2 linked regions of the Caenorhabditis elegans genome follow. The protein of the gene in region 2 interacts with the protein of the main gene of each other region in a pairwise test. Each region holds a gene or a part of one and is shown on either strand. Other genes may lie near its edges. The genes, in order: vbh-1 and F38B7.3.

What was found.
Region 1: the proteins of F38B7.3 (region 2) and vbh-1 interact in a two-hybrid assay, tested with the Caenorhabditis elegans proteins (one large-scale study listed by BioGRID).

The regions. Positions count from the first base shown.
Region 1 is NC_003279.8:3,157,797-3,164,155, forward strand, and holds vbh-1 (RNA helicase), read right to left. Parts: upstream 4,596-6,359; 5' UTR 4,488-4,595; coding exon of another isoform or gene 4,420-4,487; intron 4,374-4,419; coding exon of another isoform or gene 4,340-4,373; coding exon 4,122-4,339; intron 3,994-4,121; coding exon 3,943-3,993; intron 3,907-3,942; coding exon of another isoform or gene 3,898-3,906; coding exon 3,847-3,897; intron 3,801-3,846; coding exon 3,488-3,800; intron 3,420-3,487; coding exon 2,359-3,419; intron 2,312-2,358; coding exon 2,127-2,311; intron 2,072-2,126; coding exon 1,968-2,071; 3' UTR 696-1,967; downstream 1-695. Other genes in the region: mrpl-17 (Large ribosomal subunit protein bL17m), read left to right, coding at 5,020-5,226, 5,288-5,389, 5,442-5,717; Y54E10A.6 (B3/B4 tRNA-binding domain-containing protein), read left to right, coding at 5,896-6,024, 6,161-6,293.
Region 2 is NC_003283.11:11,547,312-11,552,317, forward strand, and holds F38B7.3 (PH domain-containing protein), read left to right. Parts: upstream 1-1,795; 5' UTR 1,796-2,009; coding exon 2,010-2,043; intron 2,044-2,501; coding exon 2,502-2,638; intron 2,639-2,688; coding exon 2,689-2,888; intron 2,889-3,145; coding exon 3,146-3,261; intron 3,262-3,309; coding exon 3,310-3,812; intron 3,813-3,857; coding exon 3,858-4,091; 3' UTR 4,092-4,302; downstream 4,303-5,006. Other genes in the region: F38B7.11 (CX domain-containing protein), read left to right, coding at 1-35, 85-194, 611-845; F38B7.17 (PheST operon leader peptide PheM), read right to left, coding at 919-990, 1,612-1,653.

The sequences.
Region 1 (6,359 bases), on a different chromosome or scaffold from region 2:
ACACAGTGCTACAGTAGTAATTTGAAGAATTACTGTAGTTTTCGCTAAGAGATATCTGCGCTTCAAATGAAATGCGCAGTACGGATTTCTCATGATTTAGTGTTCCCATAATACCGAATTTTGAGAGCAGTTTTCCTTCGCTTTTCGTAGATATTATTTGTGTCATTTCTATGCTTTATTTTATTATTTTATCATTAAATATATAATTTTAATTGAAAAAACGAGCAATATTGGTTTCATTTGATGATGAGTCTCCCACAAAAGCATATTTACTCATTTTTCCCCCCTCTTTTGCAGATTTTTAAGGAGAAGACCGGCATTTTTCTATTTGAAAGGCAAGAATTATCAATTTTCATTGATGATAATTGTTTTTAATTCAGGATTTCGACAACAATGGAGAGGGTGAAGACTGCTGATTGTTTTTTTTTTCGAAGTTGAATGACATCGGAAACGAAGGTACATAAACTCCCGGGAATTTAGCCTACAAGTTGCTGGAATCATAATTACAAATTTTCAAATAGAAATGAAAATTTGACTGACATGAGGCAATATTTAATACATTAATTTTTTGGCCTAGGACTAGACTATTAACGACCACGTAGCATTTGACATGTTGTGAAGATAGATAATTTTCTTGCGGTCATTTCTTATATGCAACGAGAGCATCAGCATGCCCGCGTATAAATGTTTTCAAGTACCAGATACCAAGTTTATTCAACTATTTGTCAGGCCACAAGGGCTTTTAAGATTATTCTCAAAGAGCTGAAAGTGAACATTCAAGATGGAAAAAGAAGATAAGAATCTCATAGTGACAGAGATAAGTGCGTGACGAGGGAAAGAGAAAAATGATGGGAGAGGGACGATGAAAATAAAAAAGAAAAATTGTGCATATTGGACAAGAATGCAGTTGGTTGGGGAGAAATTGGCAAATAGAAATTGAAGAGAAAGCGTGGAAACGGACTGCACGTTCAACGGCTTAGACCGGCCTAGAAAATGTTTGGAATTAGCTATTGACGAGACGCATATGATAGTGCAACTTGAGTATTATGAAATGGTTGGTTCTATGATTTTCGTGTATACTGTTTAGAGGGAGAAAAAACAACTAACAATGAATATTACTTGGCTCAAAAAAAACATCAGTTGGAGGGAAAAATGATAGAGATTTGGGGATAGGTGGGGGGAGATCATTATCATAAGAGAGCAACCAAGCTTTTTATACCTAACTCGCAATTATTTAATGATAAACTGACGATCATACTGGCGAACAATTATGAAAATATAATTAGACACCCGCAGCTATACCAAGTTAAGAATTGAATAATTGCAAGACGAATGGTTGGGATCAGATTGGGGAACAAGTAAAAATTAATTAAAAATACACACAATATCACGAATCAACAACGGGCAGCACTATGTAAACGGGTTTCAACAAAGCTTACAAACAACCGATAATAGAGAAAAACCGTGCTGAGTCCCCGACGCGGTAGTGCATCGGATGCCATCCAGCGGCCATAAGAAAAACTACAAAACTACGAGATAAAACTGCATTGATTCTCTCGGGGTATTGTTGATGCAAGAAAACAACACCAAGAGAAACAAAACAATGGTACAAATTGCCAGGCAACAACAACATTTTTGGGGGAAATGGGAGGATACAATAAAATTCAATGTTAAAACCCTAGATCACGCATAGAATCCATTAAAATATTCGTCACTTAAAGCTCTGAGATAAAAAAAATTGAATGATTAAAACACAATTACAGAGAGAATAATATGAAATAAAAGAGAGGAATAAGCCACGCTTTAAAGAAGGAGACAGAATAAAAAAGAGAAGGAGGAAAAAATGATTATTTTAATATGGATGGAACGAGTAAAGGAAAAAAGGAAGACAACTAAATTATAAAAAAAGGAGTATGGTGCGAGACTTTAATGTGGAATTCCGGATTTCCGTTTGTTGCGAATAATGTTTAAGCTTGTGGAGCTTGCCAATGATCAATTGGAGCCTGGCCTGGGTTTGAGTAAAAACCTCCACCGCCACCACCCTGACGGTTCATTCCACTGTTGAAGCCACCTGAAATCAAGGAATTGATTAATTTTGCATTATTTTCTTTATTTTCTCCACAAACCTCTTCTTGGGCCACTGAAGCCGCCACCGCCACCACTATTAGAGGTAGACGACAGAGAGCTATGAGCTCCGAATCCTCCATTCGTGAACGGGCGACGTGGTGCTCCTCCTCCGAACGAACCACCGTAGGCGGGTCCACTTCCGAAACCACCAGTGGCTCCACCGGAATTGTAATTTGAGAAGTTTCTGAAACTATTAGCAATATTAATTTTCAACTGCTCATTTGATCTTACCCTCCGAACGATCCACCACCACCACGACCAACACGATAGTCGGTTGCTCCGAAGCGACGGTTTCCACCACGTTGTCCACCTCCAATGCGTCCTTCTGCAGCAACTTGATGAAGCCATTCTGGGACTTCTTGGTTGGATTCGACAATCAGATTCTTCAAATCACGACCGATTCCTCGATTCTTGTCATTGAAGAAACTGGTGGCAATTCCAAGGTTTCCGCATCTTCCGGTTCTACCGATACGGTGAACATATTCGTCAGAATCTCCAGGAAGATCATAATTGATGACGTGGCGCACATTTGGAATATCCAATCCACGAGCGGCAACAGCAGTTGCGACAAGAATTGGGCACTGTCCAGAGCGGAACAACTCGAGATTTCTCTCACGTTCAATTTGTTTGAGATCTCCGTGAATTGAAACAGAGCGGATCTGCTGACGATTGAGGAAATACGCCAACTCGTTGGCTCCTCTCTTTGTCTCAACGAATACGAGAACCAGATTTTCAGAATGCTCGTTCATCAGAATTTCCATCAGATTGCTTCTCTTTTCCATCTCGTTGACCCAAAGCAGACGTTGTTCAATATTTTCAGACGTTGATCCAACACGACCAACTGCCAAAAAGATATAGTTATCCTTGAGGAAGTCCTTAGCGAGAACTTGAATCTCCTTCGGGAAGGTTGCACTGAACATAGCTGTGGTACGAGCAGTCTTTGGTGGCATTCCTTGGCCAACGATCTTTCTGATTTGCGGCTCAAATCCCATGTCAAGCATACGATCAGCTTCGTCGAGAACCAGGTAACGACATCCGGCGAGTCCAATGAATCCTTGCTCAATAATGTCAATCAAACGACCTGGGGTAGCAATGAGGATATGCGTTCCAGCGCGAAGACGATTCACTTGATCACGATAGTTTTCACGTCCTCCGTAAAGAATAGCCGTCTGGATGTTGCTTTTGTAGCTGAACTTTGTAGCTTCCTTGTGGATTTGAATGGCAAGTTCACGAGTCGGCGAGAGAACCAGAGCACATGGATAGTAAGTGCGACGACCGTTTGTGAACGCTGGCTGCAATTAAAATAGTTTTTTGTATAAATTTTTCGAATTTTGATGGATCGCAGGTTTGCCCTACTTACCGGCTTGACCATATCTGGACCACCAGCCAAAATATGCTGAATAATTGGGAGCAGGAAAGCGGCAGTTTTTCCAGATCCGGTTTGAGCGCAAGACATCAGATCGCGGTTAGCCAAAAGAGTTGGGATCGAGTGTTTCTGGACAGGAGTCGGCTTGGAGTATCCGCTGCGATTCACGTTCTCCATCACAGCCGGCCCAAAACCAGCTTCATTGAAATGCTCGATGGCTGCTGGAACGGAGTCTCCGCTGACTTCTACGGGAATATTTTCGTACTTGTCAAAGTTGATGCCACTGTCGGTACGGTGGAACAAATTGCTGAAATACCATATCGCGTTTAATAATCAGAACATTTTAATCTCACCTTTCGGAATATTCGGCAGGTGCTCCTCCCCATTGATTACTCTCGGCTCCACTGTAACGTCTACTAATAAAAATTGTAATTCAGATTTAAACATACTTGTTGTTGAAACCGTTTCCGCTGTCGGCGAAGTTGTTGTACCCAGACGATCTGCAATTTCAAGATTTGATAAAAGAGAAGCCTCATTTCAGGTTAACAAAAAGCAACAAAGGAAATGAAGAACAAGCATATGGTTAGAGGCAAACACAATCACCAGCACACTATACACCTGTTCTCACCCATTCTCATCGAAGTTTTCAAAGTTTTCTGAGTAGCCCATTTTGAAATGCTGCTGCTGTTGTGGCTGCCCTTGAAAGTAAGGAGAAGGAACAAATCCAGCATGAGGAGCACCCATCATCTGCCCCATCCCTGGGACCATAGGTTGTTGAATTGCATACCCGTTGTTTGACGGAGTTCCGTTGGCGAATCCGTTGTAAAATACGCCTCCTGCAGGCATATTATTGCTCTGTTGAGAATACGAGGATGACCAGCTGAAAAAATGAGGTTGAAATCTTGAAATCCGTTTCGAAATCATACCCTTGTCCCTGTTGTTGTTGTGGCGGCTGTTGTTGACCGTTGTGATTCGCATAATATTGTGTGTTCATTGTAAGACTATATCAAACGGAAACCCGGAATTCGAAAAAGAAAAATCGGCGAATCTAAACCGATTTTGTACCCAATTGACGTCGAGATTACAGAATATGTATCTGAAATTCATTTTATTGGCTTGTTGCGAAACAAATGAAGTTTTAAGACGGAGAAAATGAGTATTTATCATTAATAAACGACGAATTATCATTTTTCGCATAATTTAACTCGAAAATTATGCGAAAAACGATGACAATGGAGAAAATCGACACGAAAAACCGTAGAGAAGAAGCGGAAATGAGAGAAGTGAATTCAGCACGCAATGATGAAGAGACGTTTGTTTTCCCATCGAGACCCGCCGACCGTGTAAATCGGTGCGCCTTTAAAGTGCGTGTGTGAGGAAGCGTGTTTCAACGCAAAAAACGCTCCGAAATTTCGCGAAATAGAATTAAATTTAATTTTTATTAGAATTTCTATTGAAATATATGGGATTTTATTCAATTTTTTGAATTTCCGACTCAAAATTAATAAAAAAAAGATTTCCAGGCAATGTCAGCTCACCGAGTGGCAGTGTCACTGCCAAGAATCGGCGTCACAATTGGTCACGCACCACAAAAGCTGAAAACCGGAGGAATTGAGCCAAGCCGTCGTGCTCGTCTCGAAGTGCTCCGTCGCATCGTCACCCGAACTGTCCGTGAGGAACGCGCCGAGCTGAAATGGAACCGCGCCGTCGAGGCCAGGCCATATTTGGAGAGGGTGAGGGGTTTTTTGTTTGAAAATGAGTGAGAAAATTAAAATTTAAAAAAATAAAATTCAGCTAATTCAATTGGGTGTCGAAAGAGGACCACTTGACGAGTATACAGCCGAAATGATGGAATGGTGGCTGCCTGAGAAGGATTTAATTACGAAAATGCATGAAGTAAATTGATTTAAAAAGATTTTTCGCCAAAAAAAAATCATTTTTTTCCCAGGTAATTGTTCCACGATTCCAAGACCGCGATTCTCCATTCACATCACTATTCCGACTTCCACCACAACGTCTTCAACAATTTATCCAGAATAAGCGAGAAGTCTGGAAGCGATACGATATCGGAGTTCTGGAAATCGACGGAAATCCATTTCCACAAATACAAGCAGACCGCGTAGATCAATCTGAATCAATTCTTGATGTTCTTCTAGCTGACGCCCTTCGGAATCACCAGAAGAATCTTCAGGAAAAGCTGGATACTCCGAAGAAATCTCAATGAATTTTTATTATTTTTTTTGTTTTTGTTTCGCTAGAATCCTAGAATTTTTGTTTCTTTATATATTAAACTTTGAATCATTTTCAATATTTATAACGAATTTTGTGGTTCGATTCAATTATTTATATCTTTATCTAATTTTTTTCCCACTTTTTCACCGAAAAAATTAAAATTCAGAATAATGTTCGAAGAGCAACCGGAGGTAATAGAGGCGATCGAGAATAATCGCTTCGAAATTGTCATCAAAAATGTTCGAATCGATTCGGTCACCGAAGCGGCCAATCTTTCCCAGAAACGGGTTTTCGAGAGTGTAAGGGAATTTTAATTTTTGGAAAATCCGTGAATTTCCGCAAAAAAACGATTTTTTTCTCGGAATTTCAAACAAATTTTTTTTTTGTAAATTTTATAATACTAAATTCCCATCAAAACCCAAAATTTATTTTCAGATGTCCCAATTGAATCTCCTTTCTCTCACTGGATGCTCTCTTCACAATCTTTCGTCTTCGATTAGATCTTGCAGTAATCTAATGCATTTGGTTTTGCCGAAAAATGATTTAAAACAGCTTCCAGACGTTTTTGGTGTGTATTTTGTGGATTTTTTTTTGTTTTTTTAGACGGAAATTAGTCGAAATATACCAAATATAA
Region 2 (5,006 bases):
TTCATCCACTCCTTGATGCCACTGAACTTCAAACGGTGACTTTGATTTTATGATATCCACTAAAATGATGGAAATTTATTTCAGACGTACCTTCCAAATATGACACATGTCGATTCTATTTATTATGAATGCTCGTGTTTTGAACTATGTTACGGGCTGAGGTGCAGAATTAACCCGTTTTATTTGATAATAGTGTGAGTTGGAAACATTATGTAGGTTATATGAAAGCACATAGGTTATATGAAAGTAAAAAAGTCCGGCGATTTTCCCCGGGAGTTGGCAAAACTGTCGATTGCATAATTGGCAAAATTAACAGTATTTTTAGGTTTCATGGTGGATCAATTTTTGTTTGTTGAAAGTAAGATCAATCTGTAAATTGTAGAAAATTTCCAAAACCGAGAATTACTAATCACTTCCTTCTATATTAAACGTCTATTACACTAACAATAAAATACGAATGAGATTTGTTTTTGTCTTTAAAAACTTATTTTAAATTTATAGCTAACATAGGAGTAACACTCAACTACAAGACTGTGTTGCTATCTTGATCTATTGAAAACATGAATGATTTTTCTTCAAACCCCCGTTTTCTTAAAATATGTTATTTCAGTTGCCTCACCGTTGGTATCTTCTTTGTTTGGACTACTTCAATAGTCTATATTAAAATCAGAAAAAATCAGAAAATAAAACAAAGACCATCATCTTCATCAAACTCCGAATCAATCGCACTCCCTCCATCCTATAAAGTAGCTTGCTCACATTTGTCAGAAATACCACCATCATATGCATCTATTATGGCAGGGAACGTTATCCTTGCAGAACCTTTAAACTCTTCTATTATTTAACTGAAAATGTGCCTGATGAATAATTGAGTTTGATATGAATTTTATATGATAATAATAAAGCATAATCTGGTAGTCATGGAAATCGAAACGCTTCTTCGTGTTTCTCACGTTTCTCTTTAGTTCCTTTTGTGAAGTGCAAGAACACCTGAAAAATTCAATTCATTGCTATTCTCTTTTCTGTTCTGTATATGTATATGCAGTTTAGTTAGCACAATCAAAAAATCTCCTGAATTATTGCAAATTTGAGAATAGCCAGTTTAAAAAATAAATTTATTTTTGTATTCTCTGTTTTAAAATGTTCAGTAAAAAATTTTATTATATTTAAATGTGGTTCAGAAAATGGGGACTGCAACTCTCAGCAATCTCCTTGTTCGAATTTCCTCCAAAATCAGAACTGCAAGACCGAATTGGAACTTTTCCCACTTCATCTTATTGGTTCAAAAGTGGTCGCCGTGAGTTGATGATTGGTCGTGCAGTTCTCATTCCGGAGGAAGTTCAAAATTAGCGAGTTGAAAAATCACCGTTTGAAGAATTGATTTTTCAAATTTTGCACTTTTTTGTTGTTCATTTGTGGTATTTCAGTATATTGCATTATGCCGAGTTTATTTTAGAATAAAATTCCCCATTTCCTTAACTTTAAATTGTAACACTGATGAAAGATTTGGTACGGTAACTTTGTTTTTTTTTAAATTCAAGTAACACTTTTTGGAATTTTTTCTTTTATATTTTTTAACAATTGAAACTTTAAATTGGGCACGAAACTAACTGTCAGAAACAAACGATGACTCATTCCCATATTCTTGTTCATTACGAACCGAGATTTTCGCAATGTCAGCTAGTTCTATAAGGGACCACTAGTGTGACGTGTTCTGACAACTAGAGACCCAGAGAAGCAAAGATATCATATGTCACCTTTCCATTTCTAGAAATTTCGCATTTCACCCTAACCCATATGTATATCCTTGACATAGAGTGTCCTAGCAACACTTTCACACACTATTTATTTCTGCCTGTTGTCTCGTGGTTGTGTGCTCCCTTGTTTCTCTGCACACTCTATATCCTACACACTATCTAATTGCCATCTGCTACCCTATTTCTCGTGTCTCACAAACACCCTTACTCTGCCATCCAACCTCTGTCAGTTCTCTCAGTTTTTTAGATTATATGTTCTGCACCTCTGAGGCTGCTGTCGATATGGGTGAGTTATGGCTTTTATCTTAAAATTTCTGGAAAGTTATCGAGTGCTAAAGATACCGTATCTTTTTGGATAATGTACAACATAATATTTTTACGAATAGTAAGGCCTGTAGATAATAAATATTTGCGGAGTTTCTTTTGTTTTCAATCCAGCTAACAATTAAGGCTCAGACAGTATGCAAACAGTAATTTTCGCTTAAAGTTTGTTTTTGATAAATTTGATTTTTTCTGCGAAACACATTATCGACAATTATTGTTTTCGTTATGAACAATTATGAACTGTTATTTCACTACAAATTCCATAGTTTTGTATAATTCGTTAACTTTGACTGATGGTTATTTTTTGGGCCAGAAAAGAGTATTTTCAATTATTGCATAAAATTCAGCATTTGATAAACTTTATCTATAAGTCAAATGGCATAGCTGAAAATGACGAAAACTTTACAGTTATGTTTTCAGATAGTGGAAGAGGAGACATTCGTCGTCTGAAAGACGGAGAAATTCTGAAATACACATCAGGAATCTTCAGTTCAAAATGGAAGAAAATGTATGCGGTGTTGTTCAGCGATTCGCGTCTTGTTTGGTTTGAAAATAGAGTGAGTTTCATTGAAAATTGATAAGAACTGCAAATAAAATTATTGTTCAGGGTGATAGAAAACCAAAAGGAAGTGTTCTTCTGAAAGATGTGATACCATATATTTGTGTGGGACTAATGACTGACAGAATGCCTGTGAAAAGACCAAATGTACCAGAAGGAAATTCAGTTCATCATCTCGTTGGAATTGGAATGAATCCAAAAGCTGATCCATGTCATTGGATTTTGTTTTCCTCAGATTCAGATATTGAGTGAGTATTGAGTTATGGCTCTTTTTTGAAAACTGGCTTGTTTTCAAAAAATTGTAGCTCATTTTGGTGAAACTTGACAAAAAATGTTGAATATGATTTAATAAAACCAACAGTTTTTTCTTTTCAATTCCATGAATGTCTCCCTAGTTTTCATTCACCTGAAGACGTAGATAAATTCAATAGTTTTTCAGAAATTACTTGAAAACTTGAAAAGAACTCTGGTAAAAAAAAAGAAAAAAACAACAAAACATTTTCAGATCTTGGTTCACAGAAATCACAAAAACATTACCGAAGCCTGCTAATCCTCCACCAAATGCACCACAACAAGGGCCTGGAGCCCAACCACCACAGCAACAAAACAATGGAGGATATGGTTAGCCTTTTCATCGAATTTTAAATTTATTTTTATTTTATTTTTCAGTTCCCCCAACAGTATATCCAAGTGCTCCTCCTCCAGTTCAGCCAGGCTACAATCCTCGTCCTGCCAGCGGACAGTCTTATCCATCTGGACCACAAGTCCCACCAGCTTATGGACAATACCCTCAACCTGGTTATCCACAACCGGCTGGAGTTCCAACTTCTTCTCACACAACTGTAATCGTCAGAGATGGAGGTTACGGTGGTGGCGGATACGGTGGATATGGAGGAGGTGGTGGAGGATTCGGAAGCACTGGGCTTGGATTCGGCTCTGGCATCTTGGCTGGAAGTCTCCTTGGCTACGGATTGGGATCCATGTGGGGAGGACATCACAGCTACGGTGGATGGGGTGGCGGTTACGGTGGAGGTGGTTATGGAATGGCTGGTGGATATTACTCCGATAATGATACAACTGTTACCAACAACTATTACAATTATGGAGATAATGACAACAATGGAGGAAACAATCATAGTAGTAGCTCGAATGCTATTACAGATGCTCCTGGAGTAAGTTTTAAATTCTATTGAACTTTTTGAATTGTTAATTTTTAGAATGCCGGTGATCAATCTCAACAGCAGTCGGATAATAATTACGGAAATGCTAACCAAGACTCATATGATCAAGGAAATGATTATGGGAATGACTATGGAAATGCTGGTTATGACTCTGGAGACTTTGGTGGCGGAGACTACGGAGGTGGTGGATATGATTCGGGAGACTTCGGAGGTGGTGACTTTGGTGGTGGTGATTTCGGAGGTGGAGATTTCGGAGGAGGCGACTATTAAACTCGTGGATCAAGCTCTTCCTGTTTTTCATTCTATTTTCCCTCAGTTCTCTATTGCTTTGCTTTACAATGTTTATAACTCAACTATTTGTGCCATTCTCAGTTTTGCAATTGTTTAGAGAATTTATCTGTGATAATAAATGTTCATAATGACCCTCATCAGATAGCCTTTAAAATTTCTCAACTTTTTGAAATGCACTTCTTAAAATTAATTTCAATTCTACAATGTTGAAAATTTGGAGAGCTGAGCAAATTTGAATTTTGAAGTTTTCAACATTAAAAAATTGCAATGAAATATTCGTTTTTTTTTCACAAGTTACATACTTGCACCGGGTTAACTTTTCGGATACAATATACCTAGAGCAAATTTTTAAAATTTTTTAATTGAATACTGAAGCGTCTCACCAACTCACAAGTGTAAAGAGATCATATTTTACATAATTTATTATTTTTCAATAGTAATTTTCCACTGCAAAACTGAATTATGACATCACACAAACAGTGTTGTTTTCAAAAGTGAGAAAGTTGGATCACATTTGGAATTTTGGATTATTTCTCGAAGATAAAGTTTTTGAAAAAGTTCTGTGCCTACAAAACTCCTAACACATTTTTTCTACGTCTAACTGAAAGATCAAAAAACTTCTCCTTGAGAAAAAATATTTTTGTTCCTAAATTGAATATATTTGATTTTCAGATGATCATAATCCACGGTTCACTGAACTGTGCAAAATCACCTGGCCCATGTTTTTCTATTCTGGTTGGACCGAGGTGAAAACATTCTGGGTACGTAAAAATAATTTTTTGTCATTAAAGTTATGTGAATTCAAGTATGAACGTGTGATGTAGCCATGAGGAAAGTTCGCACAATCTTTATGAAAAAGTGAGTTCCATATAATTCCCAGACAAACTCTGCAGC